Linked DNA regions of Rattus norvegicus. The protein of the gene in region 6 interacts with the protein of the main gene of each other region in a pairwise test. Links are inferred from orthologs where the notes say so. Each region holds a gene or a part of one and is shown on either strand. Other genes may lie near its edges.

The links.
Region 1: the proteins of Txlna (region 6) and Tcl1a interact in binary tests that used the Homo sapiens proteins (3 or more experiments, as listed by UniProt). The two-hybrid records come from large-scale screens. The link is inferred for Rattus norvegicus from reciprocal best matches to the Homo sapiens genes TXLNA and TCL1A.
Region 2: the proteins of Txlna (region 6) and Dtnb interact in binary tests that used the Homo sapiens proteins (3 or more experiments, as listed by UniProt). The two-hybrid records come from large-scale screens. The link is inferred for Rattus norvegicus from reciprocal best matches to the Homo sapiens genes TXLNA and DTNB.
Region 3: the proteins of Txlna (region 6) and Stx1a interact in binary tests that used the Homo sapiens proteins (3 or more experiments, as listed by UniProt). The link is inferred for Rattus norvegicus from reciprocal best matches to the Homo sapiens genes TXLNA and STX1A.
Region 4: the proteins of Txlna (region 6) and Cdr2 interact in binary tests that used the Homo sapiens proteins (3 or more experiments, as listed by UniProt). The two-hybrid records come from large-scale screens. The link is inferred for Rattus norvegicus from reciprocal best matches to the Homo sapiens genes TXLNA and CDR2.
Region 5: the proteins of Txlna (region 6) and Stmn2 interact in binary tests that used the Homo sapiens proteins (3 or more experiments, as listed by UniProt). The two-hybrid records come from large-scale screens. The link is inferred for Rattus norvegicus from reciprocal best matches to the Homo sapiens genes TXLNA and STMN2.
Region 7: the proteins of Txlna (region 6) and Cep57l1 interact in binary tests that used the Homo sapiens proteins (3 or more experiments, as listed by UniProt). The two-hybrid records come from large-scale screens. The link is inferred for Rattus norvegicus from reciprocal best matches to the Homo sapiens genes TXLNA and CEP57L1.

Annotation. Positions count from the first base shown.
Region 1 is NC_086024.1:129,889,263-129,892,756, forward strand, and holds the end of Tcl1a (T-cell leukemia/lymphoma protein 1A), read right to left. Parts: intron 2,441-3,494; coding exon 2,270-2,440; intron 1,911-2,269; coding exon 1,863-1,910; 3' UTR 1,851-1,862; intron 1,413-1,850; 3' UTR 501-1,412; downstream 1-500. UniProt on the Homo sapiens protein: Enhances the phosphorylation and activation of AKT1, AKT2 and AKT3. Promotes nuclear translocation of AKT1. Enhances cell proliferation, stabilizes mitochondrial membrane potential and promotes cell survival.
Region 2 is NC_086024.1:32,285,230-32,289,281, reverse strand, and holds the start of Dtnb (dystrobrevin beta), read right to left. Parts: upstream 2,801-4,052; 5' UTR 2,531-2,800; exon of another isoform or gene 2,516-2,530; intron 1-2,515.
Region 3 is NC_086030.1:27,282,472-27,285,971, forward strand, and holds part of Stx1a (syntaxin-1A), read right to left. Parts: intron 2,134-3,500; coding exon 1,996-2,133; exon of another isoform or gene 1,880-1,995; intron 1-1,879. UniProt on the Homo sapiens protein: Plays an essential role in hormone and neurotransmitter calcium-dependent exocytosis and endocytosis.
Region 4 is NC_086019.1:184,956,237-184,960,287, reverse strand, and holds the start of Cdr2 (cerebellar degeneration-related protein 2), read left to right. Parts: upstream 1-1,251; 5' UTR 1,252-1,329; coding exon 1,330-1,405; intron 1,406-4,051. Other genes in the region: Mfsd13b (transmembrane protein 180), read right to left, coding at 483-636.
Region 5 is NC_086020.1:95,156,536-95,160,642, reverse strand, and holds the start of Stmn2 (stathmin-2), read left to right. Parts: upstream 1-1,307; 5' UTR 1,308-1,333; coding exon 1,334-1,352; intron 1,353-4,107. UniProt on the Homo sapiens protein: Regulator of microtubule stability. When phosphorylated by MAPK8, stabilizes microtubules and consequently controls neurite length in cortical neurons.
Region 6 is NC_086023.1:147,266,474-147,270,445, forward strand, and holds the start of Txlna (alpha-taxilin), read right to left. Parts: upstream 2,801-3,972; 5' UTR 2,688-2,800; intron 2,238-2,687; 5' UTR 2,232-2,237; coding exon 2,066-2,231; intron 1,369-2,065; coding exon 1,030-1,368; intron 1-1,029. UniProt on the Homo sapiens protein: May be involved in intracellular vesicle traffic and potentially in calcium-dependent exocytosis in neuroendocrine cells.
Region 7 is NC_086038.1:46,874,048-46,878,111, forward strand, and holds the start of Cep57l1 (centrosomal protein CEP57L1), read right to left. Parts: upstream 2,801-4,064; 5' UTR 2,742-2,800; coding exon 2,697-2,741; exon of another isoform or gene 2,571-2,696; coding exon of another isoform or gene 2,451-2,570; intron 1-2,450. Other genes in the region: Sesn1 (sestrin-1), read left to right, coding at 3,883-4,064. UniProt on the Homo sapiens protein: Centrosomal protein which may be required for microtubule attachment to centrosomes.

The DNA.
Region 1 (3,494 bases), on a different chromosome or scaffold from region 6:
TTCCTTATCCAACCACATCTTTGGGGCAGCTGAGGACTAGCACTGTACAGAGATAAGAAGGAAGCAGGATGCCCCAAGGCCCTTTCTGGCTCCTTTCCTAAGGTAACCCTTGTCTTCTGAGGCCCTACTCTTAAGGAGAGTGAGGACCAGCAGGTCATGACAACCAGCAGAGAACAGGGCAGGGAGGAGGGGAGAGGGGCTAGCCTGTGACTGGGTTAGACTGTGTCTGAGGGCATGGGTGTTGGGAGGGAGGGAGGGCTGGGGTGAAAGTGGTGGTGGGAGTTTCACCTTAAGAGACCTGGCTGGGACTGAGAAATAGAACGCACACTTGGAAGGACAGCATTCCAGACCTGAGGGTATTCAGGGGTTTGAGGCAAAGGTAGGATCATATCAAGGGGGCTGGGTACCAGGACTGGCCAGTAAGGACGGTTTTGAGGTTGTTGCCGCTTCCAACGGTTCTGAAATCATAACTCTGAGAGCACTGAGGTTTGAGAATTTATAGAGTTCTATAAAGCTTTATTAAGTCTGGCCTTATCTCTAAAATAGAAACATATAAAATCCCACACATTCCCTTTCAACATTCTTACTGGAAGACCACGGCTTCTCTGGGAGAACCCAGAGCAGTCTTCTCTCTTATTTCTTGGCATCTTGGTCAAGGATAGAAGCCAGTTCGGCCCAACTTAGGTGAGTGAGATATTTAATCGGTTAACAGGAAGTGCTTATATTCAATACAGTATCTGAACACCAAGGGAGAGAGGCCAAGAGTGGGCAAGCTAAGGGCTCATCTAAATCAGCTCCATTCCCTGGCCTCCTGCTCTAGTGAGGTTTGCATATCCCTGGCTGCAAGCACCCGGGTTCTACGACAGGGAAATGGAGCTCTCTGGTCTTAAACTGCTTTCCAACCACGTCTGCATTTGTTGGGTAGGTGACGGTTCACAGGCCAGGTGGGTACAGGCGCCACAGCACACCTTGAGAGATGGCGGACCTGGGGTCTGCCGGATTCAAATGACTTGGTCTCGTCCCTCATGGCATATGTACAACTGAGGGCCCCTTGGGAAGGCAAACTGGCAAGCCAGACACTAGTTGTCTTGAGAGGCAAAAGGGAAAGGCAGAAAAAAAAAATCAATCAGCTGAGAAGATCAGAGGTGCAGACACCACTGGGCACCTAGAGGAGGTGAGGAGAATGGGGATCTTCCCTGAACCCCTTGCCAGGGAGCCGGTAGAGTGGAAGGGCCAACCAAGGCAGCAGAGCGGGCGACAGGAACATGGGAAGGGGCAGCCTCTGGATGGACTTTTCTTCTTGGAGCCCAGTGTGGAGGAGAAAGAACATGCCTAGCCAACAGAGCAAATGTAAGTACCAGCATCTCCCCTGTGGGCTCAGGCCTGGGCAAGGGAGACAGGAGCTGCAGGGCCTGGGGAGAGAGAAGGCAGGGTCAGAGGGACAGCCAAGGAGCAGGCACTGGGGATTGCTGGGTGGGTGGTTAGTCAGCTCCTGATGCTGAAGTTGGATCTTATGCCTGGGTCAGGGCCAAACAGCACCACCGTGAAGGGAGTGGGTAAGAAAAAAAAAAATGGAGAAACCTGCTTCAGTGTGTAATTATCTGCAGATCCCCAGCTGAGATGGTGGGATGGCTCAGCAGTCATCTCTTAATAGACAACTGATGGTGAACAATGGGGCCCTGTAAACATGGGTGTAGCTGGAGCTCCTCAGGTGGTAAAGGAGAGACATGGACACTTCCAGGAAGTCTGTCTTACTCTGGGCACTCTGAGGACAGCTGCTGGGGAGGGGCTGTCACAGCTTTCATAGAGAAGGGCCCTCCTTCCTCCAGATGGAGCTTTGGGGCACTCACCATGTCTCAACGTTACTCAGAGTCCAACAGTTCAAGTAGCATGTCCTCATCATCTTTGAACTGAGGGTAGAGAAGGAGAGAGACAAAGGAGTGGTCAGACCAGCCCTGAGAATTCCCCTTTCATTCTGGCTCAGCTTTCCTCAGCCTGGGTTAGTACTGGGACCCGAGGTGAGGTGGCTAGCCCTCTCAACGGGACTGTCAGTGACTACCACAAGAGGGTTCCTTGTGACAAGGGGTTTGGCTAAGACCTCAGACGATGGCTTCTTTTATCCAACCCTTAGAGAAACATCTGCATTTAGTTCCCCTTCTATTAGCTTCTGGTGCCAGGGTTGAGGGAATATAGAGCTAGCCCATGCCAAGACCAGAGACCAGGATCACCCAAGACTGCCCACTCAGTCCTTGGGGTAAGAGGTGCTTGCCTTGATGTGGTACACTATCTGCCAGAACTCGGAGTTACTGCTTCGGTACCTTTCCTCAGGGTATAGCTGCCACATTAAAGGCAGCTCATACGGCACCAGCTGACTTGGGGTCATGGAATCCCCCAAGATGACATCTTTCTGTCGCATGATCACCTGGAATTTTCCGTTACTCTGCAGAGGCAGAACAGAAAGAACACAACCTTTGCCTCCTGCTGACTACTGTTGGGCTCCTCTGAGCACACCACCAGCAGCCATTCTGTCACTCGGGGGGCGTGGGGCTATCCCCACAGCCTGAGCACAGACACCAACCCTGGACCCAACTCTATAGCCCATGCACAATCTTAGGAACTCTGGCTGGACCTGGGTTTAGTCATCCTCAGGGTGCTCTTTTCCTGCCAACCTCCTGTTGCTAGGGTAAACCATGCAGCCCTCCGGTTTGGTCCCAAGAGTGTGTATGGGGAGGGTCATGCATGCACAGCAGAGAGGACAACCTTGGGTGTCATCTCTTGGACATTATCTACTTTTTCTTTCGTCTATTTACTATTGAGACAACATCTCTAATTGGCTTGGAGTTCACCAAAAACACCTCACAAGAAAACAAACAAACAAACAAAACCAAAGCCCAACCCAAACCAACCAAATGAAAACTGGATGGTTTGGCTGGTCAGCTCCAGAGATCTGCGTGTAGCTGCTTCCTGAGTGCAGTCTCCATAGCCATCCTCATACTTACAAGACGAACACTTCGGCAACCTTACCCAGCCTTGCCAGGTTATCTTTTTGTCCAGTGTCCTCTTTTAAATGAGGTCTCGGTCCATGGACCTGCTGTGGAAACTGTAAGTGAAATGCACTGTCTTTCCTATCAGAGGGTTAAACGAGATCAAGGAGCCACCACCTCTAAAGAGGTTGGCATGGGACCCATGAGCAAAAATCCCTCCTTAGAGCCCGAAGTTTTCTAAGATCTAAGTATGCATTTAAGGTTGCGATCTGTTTTCAAAGTTATGCTTCGCTCACTGACCAACAGTGCAGCTCTGAGTCACTCAACCACATAGGCATGGAGTTGACCAACGGGTGTAAGGCTCTGGACCACTCTGGCAGGAATACAACTTCATGTCTTTGGATTGTGTGATCATTCTCTTGAGGACACCCTGCACCCCCCCCCACACACACACTCATTTCTAACACTTAGAATCTGGCGACAGCAACATTTCTCCTTCACTAGCATGGC
Region 2 (4,052 bases), on a different chromosome or scaffold from region 6:
CAACCTAGACAGAATGCTATAGTAAAATGCAAAGAGAGCTGGAAATGACTCAGTGGATAACGCACTTGCCACGCAAATATACGAATTGGAGTTCAAATCTCTAGAACCCGCATACAAGCCAGGCAGGTATAGCAGCCACCTACAATGCCAGCGCTCTAGAGACAGACAGGAGTCATCAGAACGAGCTGACTGGCTAGACTAGCCAAATTGGCCAGCTCCAGGTTCAGGAGGAGGCTGAACTTAATAAATAAGTAAGAGAGCAACTGAGAACCTCCAGTGTCAACTCTGGGCTTTCACAGGCATATACAATGTATGGTACATGGATACCATATGCAGACTCCCCCATACCACATACACATGCAAAAAAAGTAAAATGCATAGAAAAAGGCCTGGGAAGAAAACAACAAACTGGTAACCGGAGTAGAAAAAGGAGTAGGTATGTCAAGGGAGTTTTATTTGGAGCAATTTACAAGCAAATATGCATTCTGAACTGCTCAAACTACTGCAACTCCAGGAGCTGCCAGCACAGAGAGACTCCAGTGCAAAAGACACCCTAGAACAGCAGCGTACCTCCAGCACATCTAGAAACCACAGCTCTAATGCTTATGTAATTTTAAGTTAATAAAATAGAGGGAGGGGTTGTCCCCAAGACAGCAGGAGTTAACTTTCTCATGATACAAAAGTATATATTTTGATTGGGATAGGTTACAAAGTACACATGTCTTTTCTTTTTTTGTTTGTTTTCTTGGGGGAGGGACTTTTGTTACTTTGTTTTGCTTTTTTTGTTGTTGTTGAAACAGTGTCTTCCTATGTAACCCTAGCTGGACTTGAAGTGATCAGCTTGCCTCTGCCTCCTAAGGACTTCAATCTAAAGACATATGCCACCATGCCCACCAATATGTACCATTTTTTCAAAATACCCAACTCAATATGCAAAGTCTATCCATTTTATCCTATGTAAACTACACATGAAGAAGGCACAGTAGTGCACACCTGTAATCCCAGGACACATAGATAGGAGAATAGACATAAGTTCAAAGTCAGAATGACAGAGAGAGACCCTATCTTTAACCCAAACAAACAAAAAGTTTGTTTTAACCAGCCATGGTGCTTCACAGGAAGGACTAACAGAAGGATAGCCACAGTTCAAAGTCAACTTACAGCCTGGGCTACTGTATTTCGAGTACCAATATAGCTGGGGTTACTACTCAGCAAGACCCTGCTTCAAAAACCGGGGGTAGAGGGTTTATTTTCAAATAAATGTAAATTAAATATCTAAATAAAATATTAGAAGTGCCCGAAACAAGACACCCAAATTTGCAAAGCCACATAGGCACCCCAAAACAAAACCTAAGAGAGACTTAATGGTTGTACCCTGAAATGCAAATACTAATTAAAATGAACTAAATGAATATACTTCAAGGCTTCTATATATCCAATGACAAATTTGGATTAATATTGCTCTTATTTTTTATATAAGGAGACTAAGGGTCAGATATGTTAACATCTGAAGACATGAAATAAAGGGTAACTGGAAATCCTGCGCACTCTAATATTTTAACTATATTCTGTCTCCCGGGCAAAATTCAGTGAAGCTAAAGACCCTGCCAGCACCACCTTGCCTGCACAACCCCTTCAGAGGCAGTTCCACTTAAGTCTGATAAAAATCCTCAGAGAACACATAAAAGGTCAAGTTTTAATTTGGCAAGCAAAGTAATCCAACAGGCATTGCAAGCCAGGGAAAGGAAGCAGCAGTATGGGGCTGGAGAGTCCAAGCAAGGCAGAGGACAGAACTCCAGCCCTTACAGACCTGAAGAGACTTAAGCATTCTCTCACCTCAGAACCAAGATCCAAGAGGCAGGATAGAAATTATAAAGTGTTCTCTAGGCAAAAGCTCCCTCCAGTCCTCCTCAAACGACAGAGGAGGGGGGAAAAGGCCAATGAGAGAAGGACCGGAACCTGACTTCAAGCAGCCACCCAAAGAACAAGCTTCTGGTGCACAACATACAAGAACCGCGTGGATGAAGAAGTGGCCACAAGCCACCGGAGTCTGCCACCTAAGCCACTGGTTTAGCGTCTAAAACCCTGGGTTACCTGAGAAGGCAAAAAGAGAATCCTAGGACCAAAGGAAGCCAGCGAGCATCCCTAACTCTACAGAGACTGACACTACTTCATATCAAATGTATCAAACCCTGGTCCCTCCATCCACTCCTGCAGTGGGCATCCATTGTAGGGCTTTCGGGATCCAGGCCACATCCTGAGGACTGGGCAGAAAACAGGCGCGGAGCTTAATTCTAGTTGGGAAGGCAAGATTCTCCTTCCAAATTTCTTTCCCCTCTCTTTTAAATGTCAGTAAGACCCTTCAAATCTCTTCCCAATAGCTCCCACCAGCTTTCCTCAAGTATCTTACTTTCTCCACAAGCCAAGCAACTTACGGCCCAGTTTCCCAGGGCTGGGAAAATCCTAAAGAGACCTGAAGTGAACAGAACAAGAAACATAAAATAGAGCACTTTACATTTTGTGTGTATACTTTCACAGCCGGACTGTCAGCACTTCAACAGCAAATAAATGATGGTTGAGAGTGATAAAGTCGTGACCCGGGCGCTGACCGCGGTTCTCTCCTGCTCCGTAGCTAATCAATAAACGCTTGCAGAGAATGCTAGAAAGGTCTCCCTGATTCCCCAAGGCCTGGCACAGGAATTTAACAGTAAGCATTCGTCAGCTGCATCCTCGCTCTTCTCGGGACACTGTGCCCATCAGAGGTGACCTGAGTAGACAGGTTCGTCTACCGGGAGCCTCGGGAGACACTGAGAGGTGATCTGGAATGAATTCCCTCCCCTCTGCCAGGGCCTGCCTACCTCACCTGCCCTCTGCCAGGACCTGCCGCCTTCGCCCCCTTCAGCACCTAACGCTGAGCCTCCTCCCCGCAAGTCCGGCTCAGGCTGCATCAGCAGCGCGCGCAGCCGGGTTCTGCGCTCCGCGGCCCCCCGCGCGCCCGGGTGACCGGAGAGCCCTCTCCGGCCCGGCGTGCGGTCTCCCAAGGGTCGCCGTTCCAGGGCCGCGCGCTCCGCCACCCCGCAGCCCTCCTTTTCGCTCCTCCAGCCCCGGCGGACTCCCCACCTGGCTCGCTTCCCGGCCGAAGCTGAGGGGCCGTCGCGTGGCTCTCCGGCGGCCGCAGCCTCCTCCGACCCGGCCCCCTCGGCAGAGGCAGCTGAAGCAGCGGCAGCGACTGAGGCGGCGGCGCCCACTCAGGCCCCGGAGCCGCCCCCGCGGCGAACGTTCCTGGCGCCGGCTCGCGCCGCTTCCCCGCCCGGCACGCGCAGCGAGCCCGCCCCCGGCGCGAGGGCGCGAGGGCGAGGGCGAGGGCGGGTGCGCGCGGAGGGCGGGCGCGCGGAGGGGCGGGGCTTCCGCCGCCAGAGGGGGCGGGGAGGCGGCCGAGTGCCCTCCCGCGGGTTTGCGCGCCCCCTCCGGGCCTCTGCTGTGCGCTGGCCGCGGAGGCGGAGGTGGAGGCGGAGGTGCGCTTCCACTCCACAGGTAGCTGCCGGGCGGCTGGGTGCTGCGCCGACGTGACTGAACCGTAAGGAATGCGAAGAAATACCCGGTGAATCATTCACCCGCGCCTCGAGCGCCGGGTCCTCCCCCGAGTGACTTTCCACATTGCCTCAGCAGGCTCGTTTGAGCACTAACTCATGCGCCTGGTGCCCGGTGGACACGATCTGGGTCACGGCCCTGGTCCCCAAGAGCGCATAACTTAGGGAGAAGAGCAGCCTTGCGAAGGACCGAGTCCGGTCCTCTGCGCAAAGGCAAGCCACAGCCGGATGCGGTGAGAGGATGAGGAGGGACAGATTACTTTCCGCTTAGTCGTTCAGTAGTTCCTGAAAGTGGGAGTATTTGGACATTAAACAGCTTGGACAAGGGAGCAGGGGCGACAAAGCTTCATTTATTTATGTATCTATATTTATTACCAACTCATCTATCCTTTTTTAAAGCATTTATGTTTTATTTTATGTGTATGAGTGTTTGGGCTGCAATGTTTGCACCCCGTGAGTGCC
Region 3 (3,500 bases), on a different chromosome or scaffold from region 6:
CAGACAGCTACATAGACACAGACAGCTACACAGACACAGACAGCTACACAGAGACATATACACAGACACAGACACACAGACACAGATACACAGACACACAGACAGATACACAGAGACATATACACAGACACAGACACACAGACACAGACAGATACACAGACACACAGACAGATACACAGACACAGACAGACACACAGACACAGACAGACACAGACAGCTACACAGACACAGACAGATACACAGACACACAGACACAGATACACAGATAGACACAGATACACAGACAGACACAGACATAAAATTTTTTTTAAATAAAGTTCAGTGTTAGACTGGTAAGATGGCTCAGTAAAAATTTTTTTTAAATAAAAAAGTTCAGTGTTAGACTGGTGAGATGGCTTAGTGGTTATGAACACTGGTAGCTGTCACAGAGGACACTGGTTCAATTCCCAGCACCCACTTGTCAAATCACAACCATCCATCACACCAGTCCCAGGGAATCAGATACCTCTTCTGGCCTCCAGGAGTCCCAGGCCTTAGTGCCCAGACATGTATACAGACAAGACACCCACACGCATTAAAATAATAAATAAAAATTCTTTAAGAGGTTGGGGATTTAGCTCAGTGGTAAAGCACTTGCCTAGCAAGCGCAAGGCCCTGGGTTCGGTCCCCAGCTCCGAAAAAAAGAAAAGAAAAAAAAATTCTTTAAAAAAGTCCAAGATTGGGCCGGTGAGATGGCTCAGCAGTTAAGAGCATTTGGTGTTCTTCTAGAGGTCTGGGAGTTTGAGTTTCAGCGTCAGATGTTGGCTCACAACCATCTACAAAGGAATTTGATCCCCTCTTCTGCTATGCAGGTGTTCACGAAGACAGACCACTCATACACTTAAAAAAACATGAAAAAAGGGCCTGGGGATTTAGCTCAGTGGTAGAGCGCTTACCTAGGAAGCACAAGGCCCTGGGTTCGGTCCCCAGCTCCGAAAAAAAAGAACCAAAAAAAAAAAAAATGAAAAACAAATAAATTATAACAAAACAAAAAAGTTCAAGGTAGTCTTAAGCTATGTAAATTTGAGGCTGGCGTATATGAGACTACCCGTTACCACATCATCTGTCTCCAACTCTGGGTTGGCCCTGACCACTCCCTGGGTCCCTCAGCCCTCCTGTCTCCTCAAGCTTAGCCTCTTACTGAGCTCTTGGTACTGCTGGTCCCTCAGCTGGACGTCACTCCTTGCTGCTCCTGGGAGCCCCTCCTAGCTGGTCCCTTTCCGCCATACACGTGTGTCTGGGCAAAGGAAGCCCTGAGTAGACCAAGTTCTGAGTGAATATATGTTATGCCATGGGCACGTCCTCCTATCCCAGCATGGGGCATGCAGAAGCAATCACATCTTTATGAGTTCAAGGCCAACTTGGTCTATATAGCAAGATATGGTCTCGAGAATTTTTTTTTTTTTTTAAAAAAATAGAAAGGAAAAACTTGCAAGTCAGGTAATGGGGACTGAGATGGCTCAGTTGACAAGCACCTTGGTTTTGGTCCTCAGCGCCTATGTAAAAAGTCAGGTACAGTGGCACATACCTGTAACCCAACTTCTGGGAGCTGGAAACAAGGGGATCTGTGGCTCACTGGCTAGCCAGTATAGGTGACTTGGTAAACTCCAGATTCAACAAGAGACCCTGTCTCAAAAGTATAAGGTCCACGCACACACGCACATGCATGGTCATTGCTATGCCTTTTGTTCCAAGCAAGGCAGCCAGTCTATAGTGGCCCTTGATGTAGTTCATGAAGCCAGGACAGGGCTGGAGGGAGAGGTGGGGCCATGCAGGGCCTAGGGGAGCAAGCAGAGCCATGCAACGGGATCCCTGGAGGCCCTTACAACAGTATGGTTACCTGAAGATACTCTGTCCCTCCCGGGCAGGGCAGCGTGTTGGGTGGAAAGGGAAGGGGTTAGTGTGGCCCTGGATGTTGCTGGGACCGAGGGCAACATCGGGGACGAGGGTCCTCACCTGGCTCTCCACCAGCATGGCCATGTCCATGAACATATCGTGTAGCTCCCGGATGCTGTTCTCCAACTTGATGATCTCACTGTGCCTGGTCTCGATCTCACTGAGGGCCTGCTTCGAGATGCTGGAGTCCATGATGATCTACAGGGTAGAGCAGAGGGACCCTGATGCTGAGGAGAAGGGCTGGACTGTAAGGGAGGCTGTCCTTTTTTGTTTTGAAATCTATACATATATGTTTGTCTGGGTATATGCACATGAGTCTGGTGCTTGAGAAGGCCAGAGGAGGGTGTCAGAGGCCCTGGAGCTGGAGTCACAGGTGGTTATGAGCTATCAGACATGAATGCTAGGAACCAAACTCATGTTTTCCAGAAGAGCAGCAAGGACTAATGCGTTTATAATGACCACAGAGTCATTTCTCCAGGCTCGAGAGTTGTGTCAAGTTCATATAATTTAGAGTCACCCGGGAAGAGAGTCTCTCCTCAATGAGGATGACCTAAATCAGCTTAGCTAGGGACATGTCGATGAAGGACTGTCTTAATTATCAATGTTAACTGATGTGAGAAGACCCTGCCCACTGTGGGTGCTGCCATTCCCTACACAGAAGATCCTGGGCTATGGGGAGAGAAAGCTAGCTGGGCACTAGGCATGCAAACATTCATTCTCTCTCTCCACTTTGACTGCGAGGTGACTAGCTGCTTCAATCCTGTCAGCTAAAACATGACCCCTCTCCGTTGAGTTGCTTTTTTTTTTTCCTCACAGCGATAGAAATGAGACTAGAATAGGGGCCAAGGAGGAGGCAGCTGAGTGAGTAGAGGTTTCCCAAAAGCAGCAGCCACAGCCTTTCCAACCTCCTGTCTGGCACCATTGCTGAGTCTCTGTGGGACTTGATTCCTGTCTGAAAGAAGGAGCTCGTGACACTCCCCCACAGTTAGTGCTCGCCACGTGACTGTTTTATTATGGCAGACATGGTGTCCCTGAGAGGCATAAGCAGGCCAATCTCTGTGAGATCCAAATCACCCAGGCCTACACAAAGAGTTCCAGGACAGTCAGAGCTACACAGTGAAACATTGTTGCACAAAATAAAAAAAAACACAAAAACAAAAACAAAAAAAATAAAGAATTTGCATTTATTACTTGTTGCACATGTATGTATGTATGCTCATGCAAGCATGTCCAACTGCACACACGTGAAAGCCAGACAGGAGTCAGTTTTCTCCTTTCACAAAGAGAGGCCTGGGCATCGAATCCAGGTACTTAGGTTTGGTGGCTGGTGCTCGTACCTGCCGAGCTGTCCTGTTGGCCCTGATGGGGTTGTTTTGAGACAAGATCTCATGAATCCCAGGCTGGTCTGGAACAGGCTATACAGCTAAAACTAAGCTTCGACTTTTAATTCTCCTGCCTCTACCTCCTCTTCCTCTTCCTCCTCTTCTTCCTCTTCTTCCTCCTCCTCCTCCTCCTCCTCCTCCTCCTCCTCCTCCTCCTCCTCTTCTTCTTCTTCTTTTTTAAAG
Region 4 (4,051 bases), on a different chromosome or scaffold from region 6:
TCATTCATTTATATAGAGAAATAAAATTAACTCTGAGGATCTGTAACTTCTTCCTAGCAATTTCTGTTTTAAACCATAGTAATCTGTGTACACTATTTTTAAGGCCACGACTGATGCTTTTTTTGGTTAAGGCAAACTTACAACTGCTTTCCACTTTAGTTTTGGTGACACTCCGGGTCTATGCCAAGGAGTTAATAACTTCAGGAGATATCTACCAAATCAGTACTACCAAACTGAGTATTTACTCTTCTCCCCTCTTCAGTTGCTACAATTCCTTTCTCCATAACTGTTATCAATTCTAACATCCCAAACATCTGCGTCGACCTTTCTCCGTCTGAGAGTTTCCCAATGTGAGGTACCCAAATATGCTAAAAGTCTAACCCAAGAAACAGTGGTGAAGACTGCGTCAACAAGCTGACTCTGGCAAGCTGGCCACCAAGTACAAGGCCTGCTCCTAGGTGTTTATCTTACACTCTACGAACCTTTAAGAAATTCTATGCTTTTAAAACTGTGGTAACTTTTCTCAGGGGAGGCGGCTTTGACTGGCCAGCCCCAGACTCCAAGTATGAGGTGGGGCTGGTGATTGCCCTTTAGGAGTTCACGTCCATGCTCCTGGGAGGCCAAGGGCTCCGACATTGAGGAGCAGCTTTCTCTCAGTAGCGTTCTCTCGCCTTTAACCTCGCAACGGACCCTGAGTCTCCCTCCGCGCACCACCGAGGACAGGGCGGAGAAGAGTTGACCCGCATCTGAAACCCTCGTGTGGGAAGAGGATGCCCGGTGCCCAGAATCCGTAGTCCTCGGCACACTGGATCGGCTTGAAACCTCCTCCACACTCCGGAACTGGAGTGCACTCAACTGAGGAGACGCGACGCAGACAAAAGAGGAGGAGCTGCCGACCGCACCCTCTTCGCCTCCCCGCCTCCTTTGTTCCTTCCTAAGCCTTTATTGGCTGATGGTCCGCGGACCCGCGACCTTTTTTGATATTCTATTGGCTGAGGTCGCTGTCACTCTACAAGCGGCTCATTCGTGATTGGTCAAGGCGCCTCCCGGGTTTGAATCGTCTCCCCGGCTTGGGAGGGTTCTGCCAAAGTGCCACGTTGGGCCGGGCAGCGGGCTTGAGGAGCCGGCTCCCGGCGCCACCCGGGGCGCGCTCGCTAGGGCGCGGGCCGTTGGGCGGCGCGGGACGGCGGCGGGAGCTGCAGCGGGACCGGCGCGTCCCGCCCGAGGGTGGCTCTGGCTGAGGGTGGCGGGGTCGGGGGAGAGCCCGGGGCAGCGGCCGAAACGGCAGGGCGGCGGCAAAGCCCGCTGCCCCCGGACGTCCCCGGCGACATGCTGGCAGATAACCTTGTGGAGGAGTTCGAGATAGAGGATGAGCCCTGGTATGACCACCGGGACCTCCAGCAAGGTGAGGGCGAGGTCGCTGGGAGGTTGGGGGTGGGAATCCGGGGGTGGCAGGTGTGGAAAGTGCTAGAAAGTTCCTTAGGCTGGAGGTTTGGGATGCGCGGCCAGGGGCTTCTCGCGCTCACCTGGCAACGGATCCGCCCATCCCGACCTCAGAGAATAAGCGCGCGCGGCCCACGGCCCTGCGGATGCGCCACCCTGGCTGATGCTTGGCGCTTTAAGAAAGCGCTTGCGGAGGATGAGCGGATCCATCCCCTTAGTGGACTTCTGAGGTGGGCAGGGGTGAACCAGCTTGACTTGCTCTAGAAGTGAGCTGCTGACCTGGCTCCGGGTCGTGCTGCCCTGCCCGCCCCACTTCGCCTTTCATGGTCCGCAGACTCTGCAAGCCGCTGCAGGTGGTGGGGGGGCAGTACTGCTGTGCGGTACCCGCGCCATCACTCTGTGGGAATAATTTTTTGTTATCCCGTTTTCCAGAAAGCAGAAGCTAAAAGATTTAAGTGGATTCCCCAAAGCCGAATATGGGAGCGAGTATTTTTGATGCCACACACACTTGAAATGAGGAGTCTGTAGACACTTCAGATCTTAGCATCCCAATTTATAACCTACCCAGTGTTAAACTCTGTGTGTGTGTTTTAATTTATTACTTAGCCATCATTCATCAGAGGCTAGATGAAATTATTTGAGGGCAGCTCTATCATGTCCTTATCTTTGCATTCGGATTTTCAATGAAAAATAATCCTTCCTTGGACATCTCCAGAGACAATGTCAAGAGTGTCCCCAGTCTGAATCCAGTGGCCCATTTTCTTCCACATTCATAGTAGGATTTTGTGTTTGAGGACACCGATAAACCCTTAACACCCTGCTAGACTCCTTTAATTCCCCCAATAGCACCAGGTGCTGCAATAGTTACCTCAGGCTGAAGTGGATATTGTCGGGGAGACTAGGTATTCACTGTAGACTCCAGAGTAGACATTCTTAACCACCATACAGAGGGGTCCTCGGGAATCCTTTCAAGCATCCTGCTTGTGCTATTCTGTGTAATTATTCCCACTCCAAACTTTTCGTGAAAATTAATATCTTTTTGAGTTGGCTGTTAAACACCAGTGAATCTGACAGGGGCGGTGGGGGACGGGGGTAGTTTTGAGCTTGAATGACCCGTACTTAGAAAGTAGAAAAGGAAAACAGGTAGCTTTTTGGAGAGGTGGTAATTTGCTTTTTTTTTTTTAAAGTTTCTGTCTGTCTTGATTTCTTAATGTGCAAATGACCTAAGCCCAAACAGATCCTGTACTACTATAATTGAAGCTGCCTAGCAGCTACAGTGCCAGTTCGCTGTCACATTTCTCTGTGTCCAGAAGACAAGTTTGTTAGACATTTAGCCTACTTCACACTGGTCCCGTAAGGATTGATGACCTGCTTTGATACTTGAGGACTGAAGCAACCACGGTGAGATTGCAACATTTTATTATATGAAAGCAGTTCCTATAACCCAAGCAAGAGATTCTTCTTTACCATATTAAAGAAGAATGCAAAACCTTCAAGAACAGACCGGTCTCCCATATCTAACATCATATATAACACATCATAATAGAAACTTAATTTAGTATTTGTTGGCCTGAACTGAAGCTGTCACACAACAGCTCTCCAGTGCCCTGGTCCACCCATCAGCCAAATCCCCCTCCACAGGAGGTTATCAGGAACAGACAGTTGTAGTATCTCAGTCTACTGAGTGGTAAACAAAATATGTTTGGGGCTGTTTGTGGAATTCTTAACTTCTGATCTAGATGAAGGTGTCACAAGTCTGAACAAACCCTAACCTCTGGGCTAATTTACTACTGATTTGCATTTGGGGTTTCTTGTGTACTTTCCAAAGGTTTTTACATCTGTTATCACAGTGGACTTTGCCATGGCTTCCGTATCATAAACATATAAAGTACAAATGGAAGATATGAAATCCTGTTAGCTCATTAATATGCCCCTGAAAGAATGACGGCTGCTCATTTGAGCATCTGTTCCCCCAATTTTGCTGCCTTATATGTTAAACAGTTTTGCGTATATGGTGTGCTGGGATTGAGGCCAGGGCCTCAATGCATGGTAGGTAAGCAGTGTACCACAGAGCCAGCTTAGATCTACCTTTGAACAGAGTTTACAATTGTTTCTCAAGAGCATACTGTTTTTTCTAACCTAGGTATTAATGTAGGCAGTGACACCACTTGCTGTAGCCAGCTATTAGAGAGGAAGGGCTCTCACTCTGTGTGCTGTTCATGAATCTACTCACCAGAGACATCTGGAGATGCTAGTAAATGTACACCCTTGGCATTTGCTGCTAAGTAGTTTGGGAACAGCTCTTTCTCTGTGCAGATTAAGGAACTCTAGTCGTTTATCATGTGTTCTGCATGACCTTTATTAACTTATGTAGTAGATTCATATTGGATACATGGCCTAAAATGCTTTACAAAAATATTTACAATAGGCTGGGCCCTCCCACACCAGTCACTAATTAAGGAAAAAACCCTACAGGCTTATGTACAATCCAATCTTGTGGAGTTATTTCTCAATTTTGTCTCTCTCTCTCTGATGATAGTACTATACTGTGTGTCATATTGACACGCAACCAGCCAGAGTGTATGTGGAAGTCAGAGGAAGACTTGTG
Region 5 (4,107 bases), on a different chromosome or scaffold from region 6:
GTAAAGTTCAGTCTTGTACATTAAAAGTCCTAGGACTTATATCCCTAAGGCTTTTTCTCCAGTGCAGTGCAGATGCTCAGTATATATATATATATATATATATATATATATATATATATATATATATATATACATACACACAGTTGTGGCTTTTTTGGAGTTCCATCCACTTCACCACAGCTCTGTATGATTTTCCAAAGAGGGGATAGGTTAGTATAAATTACTGTAAAACAGATAGTGAGTTATTATTGATTGGATAAGAGAGTGAGATGGATTAAAAGATTCATATCTATCTTGACTGATGCCTTTTATTAATATATATATTAATACATATATATGTATGAATTGAGAAAAATTGGACATTTGCTAAATGTTTTTTAAGTGAATGAATAAATGAATAAGTAAATGCCTTGTTTATAATTTGTTTCAAAGTTCGTTGCACTTCATACTGCTTAATCTGACTGTGAATGCAGGGAAACCATTCCTAGTCCAGGTTCTCCTGCTCTCTTGCATCATGTCCTTAGGTGGAATTTATATCCCTGTGCCCAAGTAGCCAACAGTTCTCTCCTCTATGTTAGAGAGGAAAGGCCAGGCCACCCCCCTCTACTAGGAAACTTTCCTGAGATTATGGACTATGGAGCCCAACTATGCAAGAAGGGAAAACGAGTAGCCCTGGCCATATCTGAGCTACTACCACAATCAGACGTGGGCTAGTTTGGGAATTCCATCACCTATTAGGAAGGTCAGGATCTACCAAGGGCAAGGCCAAAGGTGAAAGAGAAAACAAGAAACAGTAATAACATAAGCTTTAAACCACTTTTCCGACACTCGGCACACTGGGGTGAGTTTTCAGGCCCCTGGGCCTTCTCTTTGCCAATCTATGCAGTGACACATGTTTGAAGCAAAGTATAGCCTCCTGGGTACAGATAAGCACAGCCCAGTCCTTAGCTCCTAGGAGGCTTCCTGGCTAAGGCACCACTGCACTTGGACTGTACTATCGGGCTCCAAACTGGGGGGGAGCTTCCAGGCAAGAGCTGATTTCCATTTCAAACTGCATTCTGGTACTTTGTACTCCAGCACCATTGGCCGATCAATATTTAATGCTTGGAGATTCTGACTCTGCAGGAGTCATGTCAGGGGACCCTGAGAGCCAATCTGCTTGAGCTTCTGCGTGATAATTATTCATGGGCTCCTGCCTCTCGCTCTTTCTCTAGCACGGTCCCACTCTGCAGACTCAGTGCCTTACTCAGACTCCTCTCTCGCTCTCTCCGCGGCTACAGCTGGACCCTTCTCCTTCGCCTTTGCCACCGCTCCGAGCGTGCACATCCCTACAATGGCTAAAACAGCAATGGGTAAGAATCGCGCTTCGCTCCCCACAGGCTCTATCTGGAGCAATCTCTCCCCTTTCTCTGAAGACATTAAAAGATATTTTATAAAGGGAAAGACATTCATGATACAGGAGCTGGGAAGGTCGGCGGGAGCTCTGAGAGTAGATAAGAGACTAAAGGGGAAGGGGGGTCTTTGAAAAACTAAAGCAAATGGTTTCTTTTTAAAAGATAGAAGCAGGTAAGTTTTCCTACGATGGGCAGAAATTTTATTCTGCTTCCATATTTAAAATTTAAGTGCCATAAGAAGGGAGGGGGCTACCTTAACGATCTGCCTTCAGTGAGGTGAAGGGACATTTCGGAAAGTGGTTTGGAACGCCCTATATTTATTCTGTAGTTTAAAGAGAAAATAGGAACGGGAGGGGTGATACTGGAATAAAAGAGAAAATGCAAAGTCAAAGCGGTCCCATCCGGGAGGTTTGAGAGATGGGTGGGAACGGGGGAGGGGAGTGGGCACATTTAATGGTATTGTCTCTCGGAAAAATCGCTAGTCTTGGGGCGCGGTGCAGGGAGGTAAGGCGGCCGGAGGGGTGGGGTAGGACCTTAGCTTCTTTGTTTTAGGAAAAGGGAGGGCAAACAGAAGGAGGGCGTGGAGGGCGCGGGTGGGCAGCTGCAGGGGCGGGGAAGCCTGCGCGGTGGGGAGGGGTAAAGGGACCTGGCTTCCCAAGGCGCCGGGGTGGGGTTTCTTTGTGTGTGAAGCTATGGTCGGGGTGGGGGGGGCACCTGCAGCGCTGGGCACACTATGCGGACCGCCCCACCCTGTGAGGAGTCAAGCGGTCCCCATCCCTACCCAGCTCTGCACCCTCAGTAAAGGGGGCGAATGGGTAGCCCAGAAAGACACTGAAGAACCCAACCCTGGGGAAACAGCGGAGTCCCGCCACGCCCCACTCACTCACTAGCAGTCTGCTTGCCAGAGACCTGACCACTAACCTCAGACGCTCCACCCTGGCCTCATTGTTCTTCATAGGACGAGAGGAGAGTGGGTTAACGTATTTTCTCAGAACCACGTTAAATAGGATGTTTAGACGTAGTAGCAAAAGAAAAAAATCAGAAAAGAGAAAGAAGCGAGGTGGGGAGCTATTCTGAACTCCTTAGATCATTTCGGGGGGGAGGGAGGGAGGACGTTTAGGGAACTTAGAAGGGTAGACAGAAAATAATACAGATAAAGAAGTGTAAGGATGATATAAAGCAAAAGAGGTCAAGGTCTTTAAGATGAACCACGTGAAATTTCAATTTTATGGGTCAGACGGAGCCAAATCTTTTGGGCTATGTAAAACCACTAGAGTCCAGTCCAGATCCAGGGCCTTCATTCGGAAAAGGTCCTGTGCTTCTCTCGTTGCCCTGGGGTGCACAGGCTGGAAGGGACCTGCACTGGGGAGGCGGCCGGAAGGCCCCCTCCCCTAGGCCGGGCTGTGGATGCACAGCAGGAAAAAAGATATGGACTGGCTCCACCCTGCCCTGCCCCACCCTGTCTGCGGAGCCCTGGAGACTTAGGTTCCAAGCTGGCTCCCACGAACTTGGGTGGGGCTGCAGAACAGTGCAGTCCTGGCACCCCTCTTTCTAGCCCCGCCTTTCAGAATAGCCTCGAACCCCTCAGGGTGTGCAGACACCTGGCCTGGCTCAGGGTCTCAGGGCCAAGCCCATCCCTGCCTGGCCACACAAAGACGCAGCCGCGCCCTGCCGGGCCCCTGGACCACAGAGGTGACCCCTTCCTTGTGGTTCGGGAAAGTGTCCTTGCCCATGCAGAACCCAAGGACCTTTTTCCAAGCCCACGGCCTACTGTGTTGCGGGATATGGACCCCACCGAGGGTCCTCCAATGGGGCGTGGCTCGGCCGCACCCCTCGCTGCTAGAACCAAGGCTGTGAGCTTGGCGAGCACGCACGTGGCGATCGCGCGCGTGGACCCGGGCCAGCCCTGCAGTTCTCGCCTTCCTCTCGGAACTGGGTGCTCGCCCCCGCAGGAGTATCCCAGAGGAGGGTTCTGCGCAGTGTCCTGAGGTACTCTCAGTTGCCACAATTGGCTATCAATCCGCTTGTCCGCAAGGGTTCTGATGGGGGTTGGGGAGATTTTTCTGCTGTCTGTACTCCCACGGAGTGGTTTCAGCTGCAGAGGACTGGCTAGTTACTTCTCATCACCAGAATTGTGATTCCTTGGAAATCATCATGATTATTAGTTTAAAACTCACTTATCTCCTCTTAAGTCTCCTTTTTTTTTTTTTTCCCCAAAAAGGATACTGGTCCCTTTTGGTACGGATTAACCCCTTGCCACTAATCTCCCTGATCATCTTCACCAACCTCCACCCTCTCCCCATTCCCAACCCAAAGATAATTTTGTCTGTGGCTATTCATTTAAGTTTCTATAAAGCAAATACATTTTGACTTCCCGTCGCTGTTATGTATGTTCGTGTGACTGAAGTGTATGTGCTGCTGCTTGCTAAGGAGAGCCTGTGTACCAGATGATTGCTGGAAAATTCTCCACAGAGAATTGTTTTTTTGTTTCAATGGGCAAAAATTATATATACCTGAGATGTTATGCCCCTCCACAAAAGGAGATATATATTTAAATATAGATTTATGCACGCAATTTTTGTTTTCCCCCAAAACTCCTCTTCCAAGTGCTTTTTGATACAGTCTCAATTCTACCCAGAAACAAGTATCGTGAAATGGTAACCGCCAACCAATGAAACTCCCACCCCACCGATGACAGGTGTAAAAGTCCCTT
Region 6 (3,972 bases):
CGCACGCGCACGCACGCGCACACACGCGCACACACGCACACACGCGCACGCGCACACACGCGCACACACACACACACACACACACACACACAAAGAGAGGGTATTGCTATGTAGCCCAAGCTGGCTTTGAACTCAGCATCTTCCTGCTTCTGTTCCTCCTAGTTCCCCATTAGAGGCATACACTACCATATTTGGTTTGCATTAGGTTCTAAGTTCGTATTTTCACATTGTCCCATCACTCCTGTCCTTTGTTTGTGATAAGGTTTCATTATGCAGCTGGCTGGTCTGGTACTCAGGAGATGCACTTGCTCCTGCTTCTCAGGTACTGAGGTTAAAGGTGTACGCCATGGTGCCAGGTTGCCACTGCCTTGCTTTACCTCAGCCGGGAAGCCTTACAGCTGTCTCCCTTGGGTTCCACTGTACTCAGCACAGACCAGGTTCTGAGCTGTCAGCCCTGGGAGGCCCAAAAGGTAACACGGAGATGGCAAATCCAACCAATGGAGGCCTCTGCTTACTTTCTATTATTTTGGTTACCAATTATTCAGCTGGTCAGATGCGACTGGGGGACTAACCAGGTAGGAGTCAGGTTTTCAGATCAAGAAGGCCCTTTCTTGATTCTGAAGAGGTCTGTGGCTTACCTGGTCCATGTTGATATTTCAACCTTGGTGTAGCCCAATTCTATTGCTGTACAAACAGGGAAACTAAGACCCTCTCTAGGAGTGGAGAATAAACATGCCCAAAGTCAAACAGCAGGTTGAAAGTGGTGTTGTCGAGCACTTAGGCCTCCCTCCGGTTTTCCATATTCCCAGTGAGAAAGCTAGTTGGATTCCTGCCTCCACTTGGCTCCCAAGGCCAGGAGGCCTTGCACAAGTGAGTGATCTGAACAGCTCAATGGGATGACCCCATCTTTGACTAAACTGGGGGGATGTACTGTCTTGAAAAGCAGATTCTCTTGTGTCCAGACAGAGCAGGCTAGCCCATGAGATGGCAAGTGTTCACTCCCTCCCGTCAGCAGGAGCTCCCCCTCACCTAGACCCTTGGCTTTCTTCTTTTCCTGTGGCCTTCGAAGGTCTCGGTCTCCAACCTCGTCACTTGCTCGGATCTCTTCTGTGCCAGGCTCCCCCTTAGAGGTCTCTTTCTCGCCATTGACGACTGGAATGCCCGGTTCAGGCTCCCCATTCCTGGCTGCATAGGTTCGGGACTTCTCTGTGTCTTCAGGCTCAGTGGGCTCCCCCTGAGCTCCCTCCTCACCTGGGCCTCCCTGATTGTTGTCCACACAGTATGTACTCAGAATGTCTTCCAACTGTCGGCTCAGCTCCTCAGAGACATCACAGAGGGCCCCAGACTGAGATGCTTTAGCTCGAGCGCCTACAAGATGAAGACAGTGAACGTTAGGTGGTTACACCGCTCCCTTGGGTTTTCTTCTTCTTTAAGCCCAGACAAACACCACTTGTGTGGGTTAAACGTTCCATTTATTTATTCAGTTGAGACAGGCTCTCTCTACAGGGCCTTGGCTGTCTGGGAACTCACTATGAGGATGAGGATGACCTCAAACTCAGATCTACCTGCCTCTGACTTCTGGGTTCTGAGAACAAAGGTGAGGGCCACTATGCCTGGCCTCAATTTAATTTTTTTAAACCCTAAGTCGTATAAAACGTTTTTATAAGACGAAACAATTATTTCTAACACCCAAACATACTTGTTATGACCATCAAAGACAACTGTGTAAAGCACCCCTACAAGAGGGACGACTGACGTGTAGCAGACGCTCTGTCTTATGAAGGACAATTAATCACCGGGCACTGGCAAGTGGGAATATGACTTTGCTTATGGGGCGCCTCATTTGATTGTCATTTGGTTTAAACCAGTCAGAGCATGCCCCCAAGGTTCCGTTCCAGGGCTAAGAGTGGAAAGCTTCATCACCTCCCTAGGAAACATGAGGATCACAGAATGGGCATTGTTTCATTCTATAGTTCCTCCTTCCTGGGTAAATACTGGCCTCAGATAGATGCAAGTACCAGAAACTCCTCCCTCTGCCCACTGGAAAAGCAGAGCTGGCACACACCCTCGGTCTTCCCAGGAGCCTGGCTTGTGGAACCTTCAGCTTCCGCACCAGGAGCTGTCTGTCTGGGCCGTCCATGAGCTCCCTCCGGTCCTGCTTCCCGTTGCCCAGGGCTGTTCTTCGGGTTGGAGTGTTTGGCAGGCCCATTCTTTTTGTCTTGGTTCTTCATTGTGATCTGCAAGGCCAGAAAAGGGGTAGATCCTTTACGGACACCGCTGCTATTTTCTAGACTTCAAAATTCTTCACAACCTAGATGAGAAATCTCCAAATCTGAAGCTCTAAGCTTCAAACAAACTGGTCGGCCTTCGCCTGAGACTTCACGGTCCCGGGCAAGGTTTCCGAGAAGCTGCACCAGCACAGAGTGAAGGAAGGAAGAGGCCTCCCTTCTCCTGAATGCCACTTCTCAGCACCACACGGCTCCCTCTCGGCAGCGGGAGCGCGGGATTGGCTCAGAGCCGCAGACTGACGTGGCGGGATGCTCCAGTCCCGACCGGCCCCCCGCCCCACCAGGTCCCACGTGGGATTCCCGCGCGCGCGCGCGCGTACACAGAAGACACCCACACCCCACGCGCCCTCTAGACCCGAAGTACGCATGCGCAGCACGGCAGCACACAACTCTCCCCACCCCGTCCACAGAATTAGTTGTTCCTCCGCGGCTAACGCGTCCTGGGTCATGGACCCTCTGAAGAGCTCGTCCCGTGTACAGCCCAAAGACATACTTCACCGCGGACGTCCGACCGCGTCCCCGACTCTGGCCGAGCACCGGAAACCTGGGTAACTGCTGCCAGCTGGACCACCCTCTCCTGCGGCAGCCAATCAACAGCAAACGCTGGCGCGGAGCTTGCTGGGAAAAGAGGCCAAGGCGGCTTTGGAGGCGGGAGTGGGAAAAACTACGAGTCCCTTCATGCCTTGCGGCAGGTCACAACTCCCGAGATGCAACCGAAAAGCTTAGGAGCCAAATACCCTGAGGGTCCGAAATTATGTCATTCGGTCTAGAGATTCGTGTCAGCCTCCTTCCTAGTACAGAAACTATGATTGGCCCTTAAACTTTGGCAGTCTGGATTTTTTTTCATACACTCCCTTATGAACATGTATGACTATTTTAGGATCTCTGAGGACTTGCGAGTGGAAGAGAGAAAGAAGGGTAAACTGTGAATTAGGAGATATTTATCTCACGCCCAAACCACTAATTTGTTATGTGCCTAGTATCCCTCCCCTCTCCATTCCAGTAGAAGGTTTATAATAATCCAAACAATGTGTTCTTCCCTCGTATGTAATAGCTTGGTCCTCATAATTACTCAGAGAAAGAACATTATACTCAGAGATCTGGGAAATATAGGGCAGTACGGAAAAGGCTAATTAAAAGAAAAAAGTATGTACTATTGTTTGTTAGAGACAATGTCTCATGTGTGGCTTTGGCAGGCCCCGAATTCTCTAGGTGTATCAAATTGGCCTTGAATTCAAGAGTTCTGCCTGTCTTTGTCTCTCCAAGACTGGGACTAATGGCACGGGCCACCATGCCCAGGTAAAGGGTAAATAATCTATGGCTCCATCCATCAATACTGTGTGCTTATTGCGGATTCAAACCTGGAAGCCTGACACCACCCATCCTTTTCTTAATCTTCTCCCCAGTGCCCCATTCCATTCCACCCAGCCCAGTCAGGGTTTCTCCGTGTAGCCCTGGCTGTTAGTCTTTGACTATGCTGGCTTCTACCTCAGATCCAACTAAAACCCATCTTAACCATTCTCCGCCATCACAGGCTTTGAGACCAAGTATGCCCCGCCTTCTGACATCACCAGCTTGGATCCTCAGGAGGGGATTGTAGCAAGGAGGTTTGGCTTTAGGCGGATTGGTAAACTCCCACTCAGCCCTGCCCCACTTTCTGCAAAGTACCACGTGCTCCTACATG
Region 7 (4,064 bases), on a different chromosome or scaffold from region 6:
TCAGTGGTAGAGCGCTTGCCTAGGAAGCACAAGGCCCTGGGTTCGGTCCCCAGCTCCGAAAAAAAGAACCAAAAAAAAAAAAAAAAGCCGTATTTTCAAGTAGGTCCCTCTCTGTCCAGTCTTCCCCTGTCTCCTCTGCCCAGACCTCGTGTCCCTCTGGAATCTTTAGTCCCACCGGGATGATTAAATTGGATGACCTTCAGAACTCCCAAAAGCCCTTGGTTTTGATGATTCATGAGATGATTTGATGTAGCGTCAGAGAATGCAAAGCACATAAATTAACTCAGAGAAAGGTAACTGGAGGGGCCTACAAACAAAACAGCCCATGTCCCCAAACAAAAACCATGGGCCCTTGGTCCCCTGTGACGCTCTGGAGAATTAAGCCCACCCAGAACAAGGCAGAGAAAACTCCACACCACTCCCCCTCCCAGCACGGACTCTCTGCTCACTGTCTGCATCATCCTCCACAATAGCAGAGTCCTCTGTACCCCACCCGCGCACACACACCAGATTGGAGGCTAAACCATCTTCTCAGTATTGCAGGCCTTTGGATAAAGGCAACTCCACCCTGCTAGCTCATCTTCTAACAGCTGTCCCGAGGTGGCTGAGGTGGCTGATGTGGGCAGCCAGCACATACAAGCCATCAAGGATCCTCCTCAGACTGAAAGGGGAACCTTTTCTCGCCAGTCAAGCACTTTTCATTCCTTTCCAATTTGCTTCATTGTTTCCTTTGCCATGCACTCTTATTTGCTCTCCTAGACTACAAGCTCAGTGACGCCCTACTGAGCAGAAGGCAGTCAGCAGGCACTTGTTGGCTGAAGCCTTGTGCTATTCATTTGGCCTTCATTTTCCTTGGGATGAAAACTTCCCTGACTTTCTAAGATTGGGCTAAATGTTCCCACAGCCAACAATATCAAATAGTATCACAACTTATTTTATACATTAATTTTCTAATACGATGAGGGGTTATGTCTTTTCCACTCGCCTGTGGTGGGATTTTAATCCAGCAACATGGCTACTCAGATTAGAACACTGACATGCCCTTAGCACACACCTTTTATCCCAAACAATGAAGGTAAAGTTAGTTTGTAGAAGGAAGCAGCCATGTGATGTCTACTTTCAAACTGAGAGGCAGACAAAGTGACGAATCAGAAAAAGATTTGATAGAATAGGATATGCCCAGCTCTCAGGAAAAGAGAAAGGAGAGAGGCAACATAAGAGGGAGCAGAGCAGAGGGAGAGGAAGGAAGGGAGCTTTACTGGGAGTTTTACAGAGGCAGGTTGAAGAGAGAACAAGTTAGACACAGGGAAAGACTGAATGAGCAGGAGCAGAAGGTTAGAACAGTTCGCTAGAGTGAGTGAGTTTGAAGCCAAGCAGAGTAATTCAGTCAGAAGCAAGAGATGCCAGTTTGAGTCAGAACAGCTGGGCGCTGAACCAGCCAGCCAGAGTTCAGAGAGAGCCAGGAAGGGTGAGCTTATTCAGCAGTAAGTCTCAGAAGCTGAAAACATTCTAGGCTTCTACAGAAGCTAGAAGTTTCTAGGATTAGTCCTAGGTTAGCAAAGCCTTTTTTTTTTTTTTTTTTTTTTTGGTTCTTTTTTTTCGGAGCTGGGGACCGAACCCAGGGCCTTGCGCTTCCTAGGCAAGCGCTCTACCACTGAGCTAAATCCCCAGCCCCAGGAACAAGCCTTCTTAAACAACCACCCCATCTCTCCAGTCCCTGATCAATATTTTATGACTACGTTTACTCTGTAAAACAAAGGATTAAAATCTAATCCGATTACCAGTCTTACTAGACAAACCTTCCAAATCTGAGTTTTCTCAAGTATAAACACTTCACAACACCTTCTGAGAAATGTCCACATCACTCAAAGACAACACATTTGGGAGGTTTTTATGGGCTTCTTTTCATACAGAACCTTTCAAAGCTTGTAAAACTTCGAACCTAGGGACATTTGGGAGTTCTTCTCGGTCTCACACAAAACGGACTTGCTTTCAAAGATCCCTTCGGATTCTATTTGACTTAGCAAAAACACAGCGCAAAACACACCCCTGTAAGAACAAAGGTGCAATTGCAATGCTTAGTAGGGATTCCTAATCCATCCAGAACTGGCTCCGTAAGATTCAAACGAGTGTGACATCCGGAACGTAGGGCTCAGAGGGGTGTTCTCGAATCTTACAGATCCCGTGCAAGAGGATTGCGGAAGCAGCGGCGTCGTTTGTTTTCCCCAGCTTGCCTGTCTTAAGGCTGCTCCTCGACCTTCCAAACAATTATCCCCAAATCCTTGCTCCAGTCACCCACCAAGTTTAGCGCCTGCACTATTTCTCTCCCGGCAAGCCATTGGGGAAAGGCTCTGGAATGAAAGAAAGCAATCCCAGATGGCTTCAGCACCAAAATTTCAGGGGAAAACCATTTCCAATGAGCGGCTCACAGCCAAGTCTACCACGCTTACCAGACAGACGCTCCCAGTTAACCACGGCCTCCAGAACCGTTGGTTCGCGGGCAAAGACGAGTGTCGCGGTGGCATCTGGGAGTTGTATTTTCTGTCGCAAACAGAGCGCGTCGGTAGCATTACAACTACATTTCCCGAAAGCCAACGCAAAGACGCCCTGCCTACTGAATCTGGGGCTTGGCTGTCACTAATTTTTAGGCTAATCTTTAATTATATCCCACTTATACTAGGAATACTACAAAGCACCTTTATTTGTTCGTTTTTTCTTGTGCGATAAACATCTCGGGGCATCCGTACTCCTTAATTTCCTTTACCCTTCTTCAAGCCAGCGCCTCCAAACGTCGAGAACGGACAACGCCGCGGAGAGCGCATGCGCCTTGGCCGGCGTCGCGCATGCGCAGCAGCCGGCCTTAGCCGGCGGCGCGCGTTGGACTCGGGGTCCGGAGGTACTCTGCCCGAGGGCGGGGCTGCTTCCAATGGCTGCCTTTGCGGGTCGCGTGTGCCTGGGCGGAGAGGCAGGCATGGGGCAGGGGCGGCTCCCGGCGGTCCCGGGCGGGGACAGGGGAGGGGCTGGGTGTGAGGACCCCGTCTCCCCTCCCTGCTCCCGCCTTCTGGGCCGAGCCCCACCGACGGGGCTGGGCGAAGGGGCGGGCTCTGTGCCTGGGGCCCTGTGCTTCAGCAGCGCAGCCCGGGGCTCGATGACTGCTGGGTCGCTGGGTGCCCTCTGGCTTGGCGGAGGTGGGCGAGGACAGAGGGGTAAGAGAAGCACGGCGTACCCCGGAAGACAGGAACCGGCAGGGTCGGCGACGCTGCCCTCTGTCGCCGCTGACACAGTGACTGGTGGGCACTGGAGTCCCCGGAGCACCGGAGCCTCAGGCCCCAGCAGCTAAGGGCCAGGGTCTACCGCCTACCCCCGCCAGCAGCCCGCCCGCTGCCCTGCCGAGGCGCTAGGAGGAGCCGACAGGGGCGGAGACTGGTGTCGGAGGAGGGCGGGGTGGGAACACTAGAAAACTGGCCGCTGCACAGACAAAAAATAAAAAAATCGAATGGCTGGAGAACCTTCTACTGTTACCAGCCTTTTGGGACCAAGCACGGATTTGACAGCTCCACAACGCGAGGATATCCGCTGACCCTGCGACACCGAGAGCACTTCCCCGAGACTCCCTGTCCAGCTAACCAGCTCTGTGAGATTGCAACTTTCCAAGTTGGTTCTTTTCCATCTCTGTCAGAAGACTGCCCTTTCGTGTGGGAGAGGGTGCCTGGGTGAACCGCCTTGTGGATCGATTTGAAAGCATCAACTTTAAAAAAGCACGTGTGATTCCCAGTGCCATCCAGACGCCTGCTTTCGTGACCGCTGGATTTTTCTGACTTTATTCTTAACCAATCTCTCTCTCAAAAAGACTGAAAAAGAAAAAGCTCACGATTGTCAGTCATGGCCGAAGGAGAGAATGAAGTGAGGTGGGAGGGTCTGTGCAGTAGAGACCCAACTACTAGAGAGACAGCACTGGAAAGCGTTAGGCAGATTGTTCTGAGAAAAACCGAGTACCTTCGTTCTGCCAAAGAGACACTTTCTCGACCTTCGGACGGGCTTTCAAATGGTGTTTCTTTGGATGG